Callithrix jacchus: one gene and its partners. The protein of the gene in region 1 binds, or shares a complex with, the protein of each later gene. Links are inferred from orthologs where the notes say so. Each region holds a gene or a part of one and is shown in the gene's direction. Other genes may lie near its edges.

What was found. The genes of interacting proteins can lie anywhere in the genome.
Region 2: PAK1 (region 1) and ARHGEF6 share a complex: the UniProt entries of both Homo sapiens proteins name them as parts of the cytoplasmic complex. The link is inferred for Callithrix jacchus from reciprocal best matches to the Homo sapiens genes PAK1 and ARHGEF6.
Region 3: the proteins of PAK1 (region 1) and ARHGEF7 are in contact, whole or in part, in an NMR structure (PDB 1ZSG), measured with the Homo sapiens proteins. The link is inferred for Callithrix jacchus from reciprocal best matches to the Homo sapiens genes PAK1 and ARHGEF7. Residues at the interface, in NP_001363202.1 of Homo sapiens: Thr185, Pro186, Pro188, Val189, Ile190, Ala191, Pro192, Arg193, Lys198, Arg203, Ser204; in NP_001106983.1 of Homo sapiens: Lys192, Phe193, Phe195, Thr198, Asp201, Glu202, Glu217, Gly220, Trp221, Trp232, Pro234, Ser235, Asn236, Tyr237.
Region 4: PAK1 (region 1) and DAB2IP share a complex: the UniProt entries of both Homo sapiens proteins name them as parts of the cytoplasmic complex. The link is inferred for Callithrix jacchus from reciprocal best matches to the Homo sapiens genes PAK1 and DAB2IP.

Annotation. Positions count from the first base shown.
Region 1 is NC_133511.1:63,524,839-63,530,045, forward strand, and holds the start of PAK1 (serine/threonine-protein kinase PAK 1), read left to right. Parts: upstream 1-1,629; 5' UTR 1,630-1,837; intron 1,838-5,207. UniProt on the Homo sapiens protein: Protein kinase involved in intracellular signaling pathways downstream of integrins and receptor-type kinases that plays an important role in cytoskeleton dynamics, in cell adhesion, migration, proliferation, apoptosis, mitosis, and in vesicle-mediated transport processes.
Region 2 is NC_133524.1:133,467,557-133,471,052, reverse strand, and holds part of ARHGEF6 (rho guanine nucleotide exchange factor 6), read left to right. Parts: intron 1-723; coding exon 724-778; intron 779-2,056; coding exon 2,057-2,197; 3' UTR 2,198-3,496. UniProt on the Homo sapiens protein: Acts as a RAC1 guanine nucleotide exchange factor (GEF).
Region 3 is NC_133502.1:26,827,218-26,831,860, forward strand, and holds part of ARHGEF7 (rho guanine nucleotide exchange factor 7), read left to right. Parts: intron 1-613; coding exon 614-700; intron 701-3,243; coding exon 3,244-3,322; intron 3,323-3,513; coding exon 3,514-3,653; intron 3,654-4,643. UniProt on the Homo sapiens protein: Acts as a RAC1 guanine nucleotide exchange factor (GEF) and can induce membrane ruffling. Functions in cell migration, attachment and cell spreading. Promotes targeting of RAC1 to focal adhesions. May function as a positive regulator of apoptosis.
Region 4 is NC_133502.1:170,245,835-170,250,477, forward strand, and holds part of DAB2IP (disabled homolog 2-interacting protein), read left to right. Parts: intron 1-1,573; coding exon 1,574-1,727; intron 1,728-3,522; coding exon 3,523-3,621; intron 3,622-4,503; coding exon 4,504-4,643. UniProt on the Homo sapiens protein: Functions as a scaffold protein implicated in the regulation of a large spectrum of both general and specialized signaling pathways.

The DNA of each region.
Region 1 (5,207 bases):
AGAAAGAGGGATACAGCAATTGATACAGAGATAACTAATGGTGGTCTCTTGTACATAGTATGGCAGAGAGAAATAAATAAATAAGTAAACATTGGCTTAGAAGTTAGACCAGGGACAGGAGGGCTGAGCATTTACCAGATATGTGGTCTTGGGGAAGTCACTGACTTCTTTCACTCATCGTATTCTGTTTTCCACCAAGTTCTGCTGTTGCTTTTTCTAAGTGTCTTTAGAAAATATGCTTGCTTCTTTTTATGTTATCTTACAATGTGTTAGTCTAAATCATTACCATTTTCTGTTATCTGAATCTCTGAGAGAACATTAACTTGTTTTCTTATTTCCACTCCTACCCCTTTCTCCACTAAACAGCCAGTGATCTTTTAAAATATGTAAGTTAGAGTTTGTCATTCTGCTTTCAAACCTACCAGAGCCTTCCCACAGCTAAAACTTGTGACAAAAGCCTAACTCCTAGTTATGACCCGAAAGAGACACCACATAATCTGACTTCTGTCAGGTCTCTTAAGAGCAGGGTTTGGGAGGGGGAGAAGTGGGGTAATACTGCCTCCTAGGGAGCATTTGCAAATGCGTGAAGGTGTGTTTTATTGTTTCAGTAATTGGGCGGCACTACTAGAGGCACTACTAGTCTGGACCATGTTGGTTTCTATACTGTGTTGTTCAGCTCAGGTTCCTTCACAACGCCTGATACACAAAAACACAATAGTTGGTTAAAAAATACTTATTGTATGAGCCCACATTTTCCCTGGACCTCTGTTTTGACATATATGAATTGGTATAGTGCCTACCTCATAAGGTTGTTTTGAGAGAGACATAGAATTTATAAAGTACCTGGTACACAATAGTTCTTAATAAATGATAGCAGTGGCCAGATGTGGTGGCTCACGCCTGTAGTCCATAGTTTGGGAGGGCGAGACAGGAGGATTGCTTGAGAACAGGAGTTTGAGACCAGCCTGGGCAACATGACAGACCCTATCTGTACAAAAAAAATACAAAAATAACCAGGTGTGGTGGTGGGCACCTATAGTCCCAGCTACTTGGGAGGCTGAGGCAGGAGGATCATCTGAGCCCAGGGAGTTCGAGGCTGCAGTAAGCCAAGATCCAGCCACTGCACTGGAGCCTGGGTACACAGCAAGACTGTCTCAAAATAATGATGATGATGATGATGATGATGATGATGAGGTAGTAGCTGCTAAGCTTTCATTGCTTAGAAGCAGCTACAAGGGCCCACCTAGCTCTTCCTGGAGCATTAGAATTAGAACCTGGCACGTTGGGGGAGGGAGGAAGTGTATCTCTTTCTCTGAGGCCTAATCTGAATCCTAGGTCTAACCTGAGGAATCCTAGAAGAGACTCCTCTATACTCAGCTGTAGAAACTAAAGCACAGAGGAGCACTGGTTGCATTCCTTGACTCTGGAGCTCACGCAGGACTCTGACAAGCACTGAAAAACCTGGCCTTGGAGAGAAATTACCTCTTGCTGGAGACTGGGTGTGGGAAGATAGCCCTCTCCCCGCCCTTAGCGCTGCTTTGCAGAAGAGGAGAAGCGCGCGCGGCTTCCTCCCGCCTCCTTCCCTCCTTTCTTCCCCCGCCCCTTCTGTTTCACCAACCCCGACGCAGCGCCTTCGCTGCCGCCCTGCGAGGGCGCGAGCGTGCTGCACCTCGGGAGCTGGCGGCTGAGCTGCCAGGAGCCCAGAGCAGCCCAGCCCAGCCGAATTGAGCGGAGCCCTTGGAGACGGGGCCTTGCGGGAACCCGGCTGGGCAGGGAGAGGTGCAGCTCTGCGACAGAAACAATCGCCAGAGATGCCGGGGCCAGCCTTCCCCACCAGGTAATGCTGGCCCTGCGTGGGGCTTGCCTAGATGGGCCGGGTTCTGGAGGAATCTCCGCAGGCCTTCAGAGAGTGGTGACACGGGGTTCAGTAGATTTTGAGGGGTATCTTACTTTCCTCTTACCTTAAGGGACCCTAAATGAGAGAAGGGGCTGAGGGTATGGAACCTTTAGATGAGCCCACCCAGAACTAGGCCTGCACTGGAATCGGAGCTCTGCTCAGGGAAGTGGGTAAAGGGGAAGCTGCGCCTTTGGGGAACTGCTCTGCCTCAGGAACTCTGCTTCTTTGCAAGCCCCCTTCTGCTTGGTGGCCAAGGTGATGTTTTCCTCTATCTTGGCTTGGCAGCTGGCCTGTTGGGACTGTGGGGCTTTTCTCTGTTAAGAGGTTGAGTGAACTGGGAGACAGGAGACCTGGGAGGACTGGTCCTATTCAGACATCTTCAGTTGCCTTATCTGTGCAGTGAAGGACTTGACATTGTTTGTTACTCTGGCTTTCCAAGCCTTCAGACCATCTTTTGGAAAGGTGAGCTGGTTTAAAATGCTAAAATGGGCTGCAGAGATGTTCCCCTCAACACTGCAGAAGAGAGGAGAACTTGGGAAATAGACCATACTGTTTTCCAGCCAGCCTTTTGAATGGCCTCTTGCTGGTTCTTCAGAGGCAAGGCAGAGGCTTGAGAATGCTAATGCTTATTTTAGTGTGGTGTGTAGGTGTGTTAGGTGTAGGGAGGCAGGGTTGGGAAGTAGAAGGTCAAGGTATGTTAATGGTTCTAAACTGGCCAATTTTTCTGTCTTTAGGTATAAAGTTGCTTTAAACTAGACTCTCTTCTCTGGAGCTCCTTCCTTATTCTGCTAAGTTAATGACAGACCTGGCTGTGGTAATATCTTAATCACTATAATTCCTTCCTTCTTTATTATCTGGCACCAAGAAGTTCATGTCAGGCCTGATAATAACCTACTTTAATTATTTTGGAACTCTTTCCTTCCCCCAGTTTTTTGATGACTCTACGTCTTCTTCCTCTCCTCACTCTTCTATTTTCTCCTCCTGATTTTTCCTGTCTTAGCCCTGCCTCCTGCCTACCTTTTCTCCCACCCTCTCTTCACCCTTCCTCCTCCCCTCGTGCTTCCCCTTTCCTATTTCTCCCCCTCTGTAGCCAGTCTTTCCTTCCTTCTCTCGGATCCTCCTCCTCTCGATTAGGCTTTCTTCTCTTTTCTTAAAATTTTTGGTTAAGCTTTCTCATTGTTAGTAGGTTACTGGTTTTTAGGGACCTTCTGCTGTGTTTGTGAGGTCCAAACATTGTTTTCTACCTAACTCACTTGCTTCTAGCTTTTACCTCCAAATTCTATCTTCCCCAAATACCATTCTCTCTCCTTACTGCCTCTATGCTTTGCCTTGGGCCTGCCAACAAGCAATTCTTCTTCCTGCATTTGTTTCCTGTCTTCTTTTCTGGTGGTGGTGGGGCAGCAGGTAGGCAGTAGGTAATAAGCAAGATGGGAAGTGGGGGGCTTGAGTGGGAGGAGAGCAAAAATGTCAAGTAGTGTTGGGCAGAGGTTCAAGTTCCCTTTAGTGAGATGAATGACTGGGAGGACCAGAGACTCTGGCAGCTGTGAGGTAGTGCTGATCTGGAGAAAAGGAGGTAGCCCAGGGAAGAAGAGGGAGGATAGCAGGATAGAGGGACAGGAGGAGGAGGAGGAGGCCTGGGGGAGAAGACAGTGCTCTTTGAAAAAGACGGTAGCCTGGACAAGATAGGGGTTATTTGGGGTCAGGGTATATGTAGAAAGAGAAAGATTATAGTGTGGGGAAGAGGACTATGTAGGTTAATTATCTTCCCCTTTGCTGACCGGCTTTTTGGACTGATTTCTACTCAGCAAATTTTTTTTAGTTAAAAAATGTGAAAGCATTTACCATGTTTATCATGTTTAAGTGTACAGTTCCATTTTAATAAGGACATTTATATCCTTTTCTCCTTCTTCATCCTCACCACTCCCTTTCCTGGCCTTTGGTAACCACCAGTCTACTCTATCATCATGAGATACACTTTTTTACCTTCCATATATGAGTGAGAACATGTGATATTTGTCTTCCTGTACCTGACAAAATGGCCTCCAATGTCATCTATGTTGCTGAAAATGACAGGATTTCATTCTTTTTTTATGACTGAATAATATTCCATTGTGTTACATGTGTAACACACACACACACACACACATTTTCATTTTAGCTTTTATGAATAGTGCCACAGTATTCATGGGAGTGCGTTATCTCCTTCATATATTGATTTCCTTTCTTTTAGATATATACCCAATAGTGGAATTGCTGAATCATATGGTAGTTCTATTTTTAGTTTTTTAGGAACTTCCATACTATTCTCCTTAGTGGCTCTACTAATTCACATTTTCACTGACAGCATATGAGGGTTCTTCTTTCTCTCCATCCTTGCCATCATCTATTATTGCCTATCTTTTTCTTTCTTTTTTTTCAGACAGGGTCTTGCTCTGTTGCCCAGGCTGGAGTGCTATGGCACAATCATAGCCTCCTGCAACTTCAACCTCCCAGGTTCCAGCAGTTCTCCTACCTTAACCTCTCAAGTAGTTGGGACTGCAGGCACATGCCAACATGCCTAGTTAATTAAAAAAATAAATAAATTTTTTTCTTAGAGGTGTGGTCTCCCTATGGTGCCCAAGCTGGTCATGAATTCCTGGGCTCAAGTGATCTGCCTGTCTTGGCCTCCGAAAGTGTTGGGATTACAGGCGTGAGCCAACATACCCAGCCTCTGCCTGTTTTTTTGATATAAGCCATTTTTACTGGAGTGAGATGATACCACATTGTGGTGTTGATTTGCATTTCTCTGATGGTTGAGCATTTTTTTCATGTACCTGTTGGCTGTTTATATGTCTTTTTTTGAAAAATGTCCATTCATATCTTTGACTGTTTTAAAATTGGGTTACTTGTTTTTTTGCTATTAAGTTGTTTGAGCTTCTTAAATATTCTGTTTATTAATCTTTGTCAGATGAATAGCCTACAAATATTTTCTCCTATTTTGTGGGTTGTCTCTTCACTTTGTTAATCAACAAAATTTCTGTGAGCAGTGTCCTTAAAGTGGGGGAATTAGAGGGAAAGCAGAGATGAGAATGACAAGGTTGCTGGTTTATTGGTACTCACTGTCTACACTAGAATGTGGAATGTATTTATATAAAAAAAGCTTTGAATATTGCATCCATCCATTATCAAATATCTCTGAACCATCATAACTAAGCTAGTTATGGTACTAGGTTCCTAGGTATACAAAAATTGAAATTGTACTCAGTTGCTGCCCTCAAATGCAGGTCAAGGAATATGGAATCTCATGTGGTAAGTATTGTAGAAGGAAGCA
Region 2 (3,496 bases), on another chromosome or scaffold:
CTGTGTTATGCCATATTGTTTATTCCTAAATAAAATGGTAAAGCAACTATTTACACGGCATTCACGTCATATTAGGTATAAGTAATCTAGATATGATTTGCATAGGTTATATGCAAATACTATGCCATTTTATATTAAGGACTTGAACATCTGTGGATTTTGGTATCCATGGCGTCCTTGAACCAATAACCCGTGGATACCAAGGGAAGGAAGACTGTGTAGTTTACAATGCAGTATAAGAGTGTAGATTTTGCTAAGAGTGTAGATTTTGAGTGTTTCTACCACACACATACAAAAGGTAACTATGTGAGGAGGTGGATATATTAATTAGCTTGATTCTGGTGACCACTTATATCTTGATATATCAAGACATCACATTGCACACTTTTGTCAATTATCCCTCAACCAAGCTGGAAAAACAAAAACTTTGTGATGGGCCTTGATCTCTTGTATTTTGTTCACCCAGGCTGGGAAGTGAATAGGAAAGGAGAAGGGAAGTATAGAAAAGGGGTAATGACGTTGTCTTTAGCTAAGCATGTGTGCTGGTGGTTGTTCCTCCATCAAAATAAAGACGATAGAGACCATTCAGAGCAGTACCGTTCCTGCTAGAAAGTCCACTGTTTTTCAGGATCTGTATTCTCATAAAGTGGCTTTTATTGTCAAGTATTTTAACAGTACGTCGGTGCAAGCCATTTGTCTCTGAATTTTATCTCTATGTTCTAGGAGCCTTGTTGATACTGTTTACGCCTTGAAGGACGAGGTCAAAGAACTGAAGCAGGTAATAAAACATAAAAGTCATTTTCTCGGATGACAAAACCATTGTCTTTTCCTTGACTCACACCCGTCATGCTGTCAGGGAGGGCCTAGGAGCAAGGTAGTGAGGGGGAGATTTTTATTTTTCTTGTGTTATCAAGGTAGGTTTTGTCGACTTTATAATGGAGCCTTGAGTTTAAATTTCTGATATTCGCTTATATTTCTATGTAGTAGTTCACAATAGACTCCCAAAGTTAGTTACAACTTTCCTGTTCTCTGACATCCGTAAACAGACCTTAAGAAAAGACTAGTCATTCATGACTGTGTAAGTGTAAAGAGAACCATTAATCATTGTTTGTGGGCTTTTCTGCTGATGTGGTCCATTGCTCCGTGACACACACTGTGCCTTGTGTGTGAGAACTGACTGTATCGGGTGACAGAGTGAAGGATGGATGGCAGGGGAGAGAGACCAGGGACTGGAAGACCACTTAGGAGGTTCTTACAAAACTCAGGGTGAGACATGTCAAAGTCCTGAACTGAGGCAGGGCAATGAGGCTGGGAAAGAGCAGAGTGAAAGTAAAGGATGGGACATTGTAGAGTTTGAACATATAGATGAGGATAGTGTGATTTTGAGATTAAGAAAGAGCCAGGGATTAAAGGTGAAGCTTCTTTCCTGGGTGTCCAGTTGCATATGGTAGTGCCCTTCATGGAGTTCAGGAACCACAGGAGAAGGAGAAGTTTAGGGTGTTGAGAGAGATACTGAGTTCACTTTAGGATCTGATGAGTTCGAGGTGCTTGTGACATATCTAGGTGGAAACACCAAGCTGCTGCCAGGTAATCTCAGGTACGTGAAAGGATCACTTAAGCCCGGGAGTTTGAGGCTACAGTGAGTCATGATTACGTCACTGCTCTCCAGCCTAGCGAAAGAGTGAGACCCCCATCGCTTAAAATAATAATAATAATAATACCAAGCTGGCATTTGAGATTGTAGACCTGGTTCTCAGGAGACAAGATCAGTACCAGAGATATTTGGTAGTCTGCTTAATAGACACTTGATTTGAAAGAGAAGCGACACTAAAGAGCCAGTTAAATTAGAAGAGGGTCAGGGCAGGGAAGAAGAATCCAAAAGGCTTCCCAGAGACAGGCAGGAGAATCGACGGGCTGCTTTGTCATAGATGCTGAGGGAGCGGAGGTTGAGGAAGGAAAGGTAGTCAGTGATGAAAACTGCCCAAAGGATGAGCAGGAGGAGCCCTGGGAAGGGCCCCCCTCTGTTCGGTAATCAACAAATCTTTCCCCATCATAGGAAAATAAAAGAATGAAACAATGCCTGGAAGAAGAATTGAAGTCAAGAAAGGACCTAGAAAAGCTGGTTCGGAGGCTTTTGAAGCAAACAGATGAATGTATTCGAGCCGAGTCCACTAGCAAGACCTCGATTCTTCCATAACCATCACTGTGCCACCGGGTGGAGTGTGCCTTCAGGGCATCTTGAAATGTGCCTCTGAATGATTTGACTCAGTTTGCTCACTTCTTTGGCTTTTGTTTTGTGTTTGAGTCTGTATCTCTCTCTCGCTCTCTCTCTCTCTTCCCTCTCTCTCCTGTGTGTGTGAGTGTGTGTGTGTGTGCACGCGCGCGCGTGCTTGGGCATTTGTTGTTGTTTGGTTGTTCGTTTTTTTTCAACGGGAAAAAGCAGGAGGTGGTGGTAGAAATGGCCCCAGAGTCTTTTCCGTTCAGTAAGAAAAGGAAAGCGAACTCAGGCCAATTACTTAAAGGGTCTTCAGATTGCCTTCAGTTCACAGTGCCTCCGCAACAGCCATTGCCCTCGGGTCACATTCTCTGGGCGGGCTGGCTGCCCTCGCAAAGCAGCTGGCCAAGGCTTATTAAATGTGAGCCCAACTTGTCCCCCTAGTGCTTTCCTCTGCCTGCAAGCCTGTTAGTACCTAATTTACTGAAGGCAAATCTTCCAGAGCTACGGCTAGAGTAAGATGAAAGACAAACACATCTACCCAGTGATCCAGCTGCCCTTCCTTAGACCATCACAGGCTACCTGTCAATCACAGGTTTTAAAACTACTGCCCTATGTTGTCTATAAAACCAAGAAAAATGTACTACTTTTATTCCTTTTGTGTTGTGTACATTGTAACTCAGGGGGCAGAAGCTCTGGTCACCCACACCAACACCAAATCCATCAGCAAGTTCTATTGGACAATCCTCCCTCTCAGTAGCAGAGTTAACTGCCTTTTCCCATTGCATGATAGGTTTCTTTCCCTCACCTTCTGCCTAGTGTGTAAGTTTTCTATTTCCCCAGTGCTTTTAGCCAACTGTACCAAGTGGTGTGTAAACTAGTATGTATGTGCTTCGCTTACTTTTTAAAAAACATAGTTAGACTGTGAGCAATTACCTTATGTACATTGCATATCCAAACTGTGACCTTTTATCCTTCAAAACTATCTGCATTAAGGAGATATTGTGCCCTAGTAGACCGCTTTCATTCACCTTATTACTCTCTCTTGTATGCTGTGAGAAATTGTAATATTCATTGGCCTCTTTGGGTGGGACTCTAAGCAGTATTTGAAGAAATATGCTTCTGGTCCAATTTGTATATCCAGAACCAAAGGGCCCCTCTAGTTGTGCTGGATTATTTGGGACTGATTATCTCAAGTTGCTCATTGAGTCAAACCATCCACTTTATCCCAGAAACTAACACTGTGAGAAACCAGGTTTAGAAGAGAGTCACAGAACAGCA
Region 3 (4,643 bases), on another chromosome or scaffold:
TGGTTTTTAATACAAAAGTAATACTTGTAAGTGTTTGTGTAACCAGGTGAAGTTTGTGGGGTGAGAACAACACTGAGTTAACATTGGGAGGTCTGGGGAAGTTGTGGGGATTACTAGGAGACCGAAATTGATTTTCACATTTTACCATACCCTTTCTTTAGCTTAAAGGCTCCACCTATTCCCCCGACCCCACTAAAATTTATAGGTTCTCTCCTTTTTCTCTGAACCACAAAAAGAAAATTTTAGCTTACCTGAAAAAGGTTAATCACAGAGCTGAACTCCTTAACCAAATATTTTTTCAAGATGTTACACAGGCTAATTGTGAGTCCAGGATCTTTTAATCATTCTGTTTACTTTCTTACCTTTTGGTTTTTGAAGAATTTAGAAATCTTTCTCTTATATGATAAAGCTCTCTTAATCATATTTTAAGACTTAGTACAGAATTTATCATAATTTTGTTACCATTTAATTTACGTGATAAAATTTGATAGAAATACCTAGACAAGAAAATCATGTAATATTTCATAGGGCCTAGGATAAATAAGTATTTGTGTTCACATTTGTCAGTAGATGTTTTTTAAGAAATTTTTTGGATTTTTTTTTTTTGTATTAGGAAAAGAATGAAAGATATCTTCTACTCTTCCCACATGTTTTGCTAATGTTGTCTGCCAGTCCTAGGATGAGTGGCTTTATCTATCAGGTAAAACACAATTTAAAGTTATATTTCGTTGTGTATTGTGGATCTGAGGGTAATTTCAAGCTGGCTTTGAATTTTGTGTTAAATATTAACATTTATCTATCTGTGTATGTGCTGTGTGTGTAGTGCTGTATATTCAGAGATGGATGTACAGCTTCTGTGCGTTTTGTAACTATGCAAGCACATCCTATGCTAGTTTAAAAAAGGAAAGAAGTGTAAATTTGTAGAGCAGCCTCATAAGGGCACAGACTGCCGTGGTACAAGTCAGGCTCTGTCGTTGCCTAATGTCAATTCAGGCAGAGTACCTTGCTCCTCCCAGCTGTAGTTTTGTTCTGTGAAATGGGTTCAGCTAGGGCTTATGGGGTAGAGGGGTGGGGTAGTGTAGGATGAGATCTTCTGTCAGTGGCACAGTGCTGCCCAAATGCATGAGCAAATAGAAGTGATGTAAGTAGCATGTGTGATCATTTAACTGTTTTCATTTTTGTTTTCCTGCTTTGCTTTGAGAAAACGTGAGAGCGGATTTGAGAAGGAGGTGCGAGGGTGAGCAAGGCCTTTTCTGTTGTGACGGTGGTTTATAGTGGGTGATATATGAAGGAGCTGGTATTTTTTTCTGTATATCTAGTAGATGTGCTTGGCAGGTTTCATTCTTTTTTTTCTGTGACGTTACAGAGGTTCCTATCCTTCCCATCACCTTTCTGAGGACTGGCCAGTCACCCCATAACCACTGCAGCAGAAGTCACTGCTTCGTGTTCTCTGGGTTGTGTTTCATTATGGCATGTGTTGTTTTGTGTTGTCCCAGCAGGGACGTTAGAGAACCTGAGTAGACACTGTGCCTTCACAGAGGCTTTGTCGACCTCCCAGAGAGGACTTGTTGTCATATGCTTACTCCAAAACGCGTGCTTTAGAATTGGTGAGTTATAGATATAGGAACAGACTCAGGAAAATAAGGCTGTAGTTTGTAAGGTCACTGCTGAAGAGAGGTGATCTGTGGCTGAGATAGTGCCCACTAGAGTTTTCCCCCAAACTGGCAACTACTTCTTTGTTCAGTGACCTTGATAACCCTAAATCTCTGTCCTTTCTGGTCAGCACTGTCTGGCTCCCTGTTTTATATCCCCAGAATCTCATTTTAGTGGCTGGAGACAGTGGCCTTCTCTAACCTAAGGGAGAAGAGGTACCACTCATGGCAAGCTTGAGTCCCTGCCTGTGAAGCTGGGGCTCACACTGGCTTTTCCCTTGTTGTGTTGACAGGCTGTTGGAGACCTCATCTCAAAACTGGATTTTATTTTCCATTCTCAACACAGTGGTGACCTGTGGTCTCTGTATCATCAGTATCCATTTCTACTATTAGAACGCTGACTTTGGGGGATGCTAGAAAAGCGTTTGATTTAGCTGTAGTCATAGTGGTCTATACACTGATGCTCAGATGGGCCACAGTCGTGCGGTTTTATTTTCCGTAGGACTCACAGCTGTTAAAGTACTTACGTGCATTATGAATCTTGGAAAGGAGTTCACAGTGTGTAGCATTTTTGAAATACGCTTGGCCACAGAAATGTCCAGCAGTCTCCTCTTCTACCTGCTATGCTTTAGGATGGGATTCTCCGCCTGGGCACTGCTGACATTTTGGACTGGGTCATTTGTGGCCTAGGGCTGGGGGCTCAGGGAGACTGTCCTGGGCACTGTAGGGTATCAGCAGCCTCTCTGGCCTCTTACTTGCTGGACATCTGAGCCCCTGCCAGGTTGCGGCACTGCCACCTGTTCTCTCTGGGGGGCATGGCCCCCATACTGGTTGAGCAGCACTCCCTCTGGAGGTGCTCACGCAGAATCCTGCTCCGAAGCTGACTGAGTGCTCCCAGGCAGCACGGACTCTCCCTGAGGATTTGGTGGGCCACCGTGCACTGTTGGCTTCTATGAGCTGCGCCACGGGTTTTGTGTTCACTTCTGCCTTGTTGGTAATGACTGTTTGTTCCCCTTCCAATGTCTCTGCATTGACATCTCCTGTTGCAGTTACGATTTCTGCCGTGTTCAGGGAGGATTGGGTTGCCACCCATTTTCTGCACTGTGTGCAGCATTTAGCACAACTGCTTATTTTCTGTTTGGTGGATTACAAAGGAGAATGTTATGCAATTAGTGTTCTTGCCTCAATTTCCCACCCTTATTTTGACTTTAAACTTGGAGCTTCCTCTGCATTTCTTTATGAGGCAAATACATGCTTCTTTCCTGCAAAAATGTCATTTAAAACAACTGTTAGGCATGGTAATTTTTAAAAATCATAATGTGTAATGTTTTGTGTCCTGGTGCCTGTGTTTAGCAGCAGCTCATCAGATGCCGCCAGTTGAGTTTCTCAATTACAGTACAGTATTAGGATTTATTATTTGAGATAAAGATTTTTGTATTATGCATATATCTGCTATAAATGAGCTTTTTTTGGTTCACAAACACAGTTCCTCTGCCAGTTCTAAAATCATTTAGTATTTACCTTAATAATGGTACCTTTTTCTAGAAAAGCACTAATTGTTTTTTTTTTTGTGTGGGGGGGTCTTTTTTAGGGAAAGCTTCCAACGACAGGAATGACAATCACAAAGCTTGAGGACAGTGAAAATCATAGAAACGCATTTGAAATATCAGGTGATAGGCACAAGCTGTGTGAGTGCTGTGTCGCGGGGAGGAGAGGCAGCTTGTCCCGCGTGCACATTCTTGCTTGCGTATTTCAGGAGGTGGTGTTGAAGGGCTGAGTGGAATTCGGGGGTGTGTGTGTGCATGCACGCGCTTTTTACCTGTGTTTCCACTCGGCCTGTTTTTTTCCTTCTGTCTTCTAGGGAGCATGATTGAGCGGATATTAGTGTCCTGCAACAACCAGCAGGATCTGCAGGAATGGGTGGACCACCTACAGAAGCAAACAAAAGTCACGTCCGTGGGAAACCCCACCATCAAGCCACATTCGGTGCCATCTCACACCGTAAGGACTTAGCGCTTTTTCTCCTTCTAGACTCCAAACGGTGGCACCGTGGCTGAGCTGTCAGCAAGTGATCAAGTGCTTTAAAACCTAATCAGTATTTGGATTAAAAAAAGGCAAAACACTTGCTTCATATTTCTCTGCAAATATTTGGTCCTCTTCGGGCTTGTAGTGAATTGTTTCCCAGTGAGTGTTCTTGAGAAACCGCCCAGAGTTTTGCTTCCTCACACACAGTTCAGAGGCGCTTGGGTGGGAAGCTGCTTCTGCTCAGCGTGGCCCTGGAAGACTCATTTAGGGGAGTTTTACACGAAACTATAGATGATTTTGCTGAGAATTTTAACTGTTTATCATGCTTCATTTATGAGAGAGAAAAATAAATGATTGATGATGATAAGGGCCAAATTCATGTTGAAGGCATTAAAATAGAATTTATGACACACTGTTTTGGTTTTAAGAAATTGAGGTATCTTATACTTAGAAAGGCTCAACAACTCTTTGTATTTTTAGAGAATTACCACTTTTCAGAATAGATAAGCACTGAAGTTGCAGTGTCTAAACCTCTCCTGGTGTTTTGTGCTTGAGAAGCTGGTACTGGGTTAACAGCTGTCATCTTTATCGAGTAATACCGAAAAACTGGGCAGAACTTTCAAAGAATGAATTATGATGACACTTTCAGCTTGCAGATGTCCTTGCGTCCTTATTAGGTTGTTAGGTTCAGTTCTGTCATGTGGCTCACTTTCCACGTTTTATTCTTCATGTTAAGGTTGTATAGCTCAAGAAGGGTTGCTGTATTCTGATATTCTCATTAGAGTTTCATAGTCCATCTGATTTCTCTCCACAGTATGGAGATTATAGCTGCTCACTGGCTTTCAGCTAGCATTTCATTTTTAATGGCTCTGCCATTTTAAAATTCTCCATTCTTTCATGGAGATCAGTTTATCCCACGGATGCCTGTGTACACACGTGTTTATAAAGAACAGTGGGGATGAGCTG
Region 4 (4,643 bases), on another chromosome or scaffold:
GGCCCTGCCCTGTCTTGAGCTTGTCTCATAGCCTTCCTCTGGCTCTGCCCATTCCCTCTGCTTTCAGAGGCCAGCTTCGTGCTGGACATGGAGAGGCAAAGGGAGTCTGTTGAATGGGGCTTCTGGGCTGGCCTCTGTGGAATATCTAAGGGTTGGGGTTCAGCTCTGACTCCATATGGCATCTAGCATGGGACTCCATGTCAGGGAGGGTTTTCATGCTCAGAGGGCTATTGCCATGGAGATGTGGAGCTTGGGGTGGGAAGGTGGCCTCTGTCAGCCTGAGTCCTTCTGAACAGGGCTTTTCCTGTTCAACTCTGGGTTTCTGAGCACCCACGGAGTGGGCCTCAGCCCCCTGACCCGAGGCAGTCACAGAAATGAATGTACAGGGTATTCACCCTCCAGGGAAGTGTCTGGTGGCTCTGCCAAGCCACAAGCCCCCCAAGTCAGGGGCCAAGCCTCAGCATGGCCCAAGGTAGGGGTCTTTGGAGAGGCAGGAAGAGAACAATGGACTGAGCACTTGGACCACTGGAGCCATGAGCCAAAGGACATAGGGGGTTGACAGTAGGAGGTCCGTGGGGGCTAAGCCTGGATCAGGTTTGTCACCAACCCCAGGGTTTGAGCCAACACAAGCAAGGCACAGCTTCTGCACCAGAGGTGGTCTTAACAGGCCCAGCCTGTCTTTACACTTTTCCTCTGCCCCACCGTCAGGGCTGGGGCTTTAGGAAGACACTGCCTGCTCTGTGCTGCTGACTTTGGAAAGAGACTTTACCTAACCTTGGAGCAGGTATCATCTGAGGTGCTTTCCATGTGATGCACTGAAGAAACTGAGGCTCAGAGGAGGATGATTTCCCCAGGACCACAGCAGGGGAGCAGTGGGCCCAGGCCTGGTCTGCATTTGGGTGCCAGATGGCATCAGCCCTGTGCTCTTTGTGCCTGTGTTGGACCCGCTGACCCGGGCCCCGGGCCCCAGCATGTTCACCCTGACAGAGTGTGTGTCTTGGGTACTGTGTAGACTGCCGCATCCCTTCTGCTTCGAGACTCACCTCTCCTCACTGTCCTCATCTGTAAGATGAGAGCAGCAGGGTCCCTGTGGTTCTCACTTGTGTGGGGCTGGTGGTTTGGGACAGCGTATGAGGAAGGGCTCTTAGCAGTGGTGTGCTGGATAAATGTTGGGACGGAGTGACTGCTCAGGCTTGAGGGGAAATGGGCACAGCTCCAGAACTGCAGGCAGCTGCCTGGGTCAGATGGGCTTTCCTTGGGTCTCCGGGGCTGCCCAGGAGCCAAGCTGGCCCCTGCCCCGCAGGCTCACTTGCTAATGTTAACCCCGGAGTAGTCACCTAATCCTCACCTTCTTGTTCTCTGAGACCCAGACTCCTGCAGTGTGGAGAAGGTTCCCACCAGTCTCTGTGATGACCCTTCCCCCAGATCTGTCTTAAGACAGAAAGGAGAGAGTGGAGAGAAGTGACTGCCTCCCGGGAGGGGCAGGGGCAGGGCAGATGGGTGGGACGTGGCTACCAGCTTGGCCCAGCCTGCAGGGGTGGGGCCCAGGTTGACACACCTACTGCAACCCCAGGTCCCATCTGATGCCAAGGCTGAAGGAGTCTCGCTCCCACGAGTCCCTGCTCAGCCCCAGCAGTGCAGTGGAGGCGCTGGACCTCAGCATGGAGGAAGAGGTGGTCATCAAGCCTGTGCACAGCAGCATCCTTGGCCAAGACTACTGCTTTGAGGTGGGTCCCATCTCAGGGGTTGGGGTGGATACCCCATCCTTTCCTGGCCTGGCTGGTCTCCTACAGACAACCTCCTGGAGTCCAGTCTGCTGTGGCCTCAGCAGGGGCTGGGGTCATGAGGGTAGTGGCCAGGCTCTTGGGGACAGTGGCTATTATTTACTGATACCTTTCAGCTCCTAAGAGACCAAGTGGAGCTGGGGTGGGGGCTGTCCTTTCTGTTCTCTAGACTCTCAGAAAAGGGGCCAACACCTATTCTCCATGCTAACATGAAGCTGCTGTTGCCCCCAGTGGGTGACGGTGAGTAGGGGAAAAGCCTGAATTTCTGAAGCACCAGAGCCCGTGTCTTAGAGCTCACTCACCCCCAAATGCAGTTTTCTTACAAAAACAGAATGGTACCCCAAATGCGGTGTGGATAGCACAGAGTCTCCCCTTTTCTGGGCCTGTTTCCTGCTGTGAACAATAAAAGCCCAAATCTTTGCTGCCCTGGCATTCTGCGACCTGAGGTTGTACTGCAGAGTCAGTTATCCACCCTGGGCAAGGGTGTTACCTGGGGATGACCTGTCTAGTCCCTCATAGTAAATGGGGATCTGAGACTCAGAGAAGGCACGAAGACATCAGAGGTCACACAGCAAGGCTGAGACCAAGCCAGGAGTAGGGTTACTATTGCTGTAGGTATTCCTGGGAGTTCCTCCTAATTGCTTCTCCAGTTATTCATATTGCTTCCTACTGGTTTCTGGGAAGATTCCTACCCCCAATAATCATGCGTTATGCAGAGAACTCTCTGGTAGAGGAATGAGCCTGATAATGGAAAGCAGCCACTTGGGGACTAATGTGACAATCTCCTGGCACACCTAGCCCTGGGGAAAAGACAGAATGGTACCTGGCACCTACCCCATACCCTGTGCCCACTGGGTGCCATTTCTGGTTCAGGACCCCTGACCAAGCTGGGCTTGATCTGAGCTCTGACTTCCTTGCCAGAGATAGGGTGAAGATGGCCCTGTCTGCTGGTTCACAGCAGGAGGTGCTATGGAGTGTACAGGCCCTCGAGTGCCTGGTGGAGTGTGCTTCCCCTGCAGAACCCTGGGTCTGCTGTTGGGGGCAGTGGGAACACACAGAAGGAATCGCTCCAACTGGCTCCCTTACCTGGAGGGGATGTCTAAGTTGGACCTGAGGATGAGTGAGTGATAGACAGGGAGGGGAGGAGAAGGGTCAGGGACCAGGGACCCTGGGGCCTGGTACATCCAAACAGTCCGAGTCTCATTTTCTGGTCTGGTGTAAAAAATACCAGGCTTATATTACCATCGTTGTCACTGTTGCTTGGCAGAAGAGAACCCTCAGAGATGTCAGCTGAGGATTGAGGGACTGTGGTACCTTTCATTATCTCCTTGGTTCTTGTGGTTTCGCCTTTAGGGCAAGTACACTTGGGTTAAGCATTGCCCTCTGACCTGGGTAAGGTCTTCGTTCCTTCCCTCTTCCCATCTCAGGGAGAGGGAGGATAGAGTTAGAAAGATGTTTTCCTACTGAACAGAGGGCACTGAAGGATGAGTGAGGAGCCCACTGGTGCAGGACTGGGCCACTCTTTGGCTGCTGACTTGCCCTGGGACAGTGGGTCTCAGTGTACTACCTGTAAAATGTGAAATAGAGGCATCATGTGAGCCTTGTCCTGGCTCCTTCTTGAGGCTGTGATGCAGGCCTGGTGACCAGAGTCCTCTGAGCTTCAAAGGTCTTCTTCTATCCTTGTCTGCCCTTACTGTGGTCCCTTCCCTTGTAACATTGCCTTGCCTGCTCCCCACAGGTGACGACATCATCAGGAAGCAAGTGCTTTTCCTGCCGGTCTGCAGCTGAGCGGGATAAGTGGATGGAGAACCTGCGGCGGGCGGTGCACCCCAACAAGGTAAGCCTGCGCCCCTCTCACCAAATCATAGGGGATCAATGGTAGGCTCAGACACAGGGAAGCAAGAGAGATGATCTCTGTGGTGTGGCCTGGGATTGGCAGTGGTCAGCCTGCGTGGAGGCAGGACTCAAGTGGACAATACTGGTGGACTCTGAAAGGCATGTTTGATTGGCCAGGTTGAGACACGTGCTGCGTGCCTCTGTTCTCTAAGCTACACGTTGAGGCTGGGCTGGGGCACCTGGGGTCCTTCCACTGGGACCCCTTGTCCCTACTCTCCAGCCCCTGACCAACTTCTGCTCATTGTCCAATTCCAGCTTAGATGTCTGCCCCTCCTCCAGGTGAGGAGCCCTGTCCCAGGTTGGTGCCCTCTGTGTTCCCACTGCCCCTGGGCTCCTCCATCAGGTCCTAGGAGCCCCACAGACACAGACAGACACTGCTTCTTTGTCTGTCTTCCTAGCAGACTTGAGGGCCTGATCAAGTCCTGGTCACCATAGTCATCTCTTAAGTTACTTTACAGACCAGCAAATTAAGGAAGAGTTAATAATGACTTCATAGCCTGTGACGTGCCAGGCATTGTGCTGGCCTCCTTTAGTCTCGCCCTTCATGAGATGGGGGTTATCTTAGTTCTGTTTTATAGACAAGCAAGCCAAGGCTCCAGTTAAGTCACTTACCCAAGGTGAGTGAGCTTGTGCGAGGTTGACCAGAGATCCAGCCTTTGTCCATCAGGCCCCGCCTCATTCTGACTCAGGGCCTAGGTGCCCACTGCCGCCTCCACCTTCAGAGCTCCTCCTGGGTCTGAGGACTCTCTCAGACTCTGGGCTGGTTGGGGGTTGCGTGTGACACCCCCAAGCTGACCACCCTGGACCCCCTGTGCACATGCAGGACAACAGCCGGCGTGTGGAGCACATCCTGAAGCTGTGGGTGATCGAAGCCAAGGACCTGCCCGCCAAGAAGAAGTACCTTTGTGAGCTGTGTCTGGACGATGTGCTCTACGCCCGCACCACGGGCAAGCTCAAGACGGA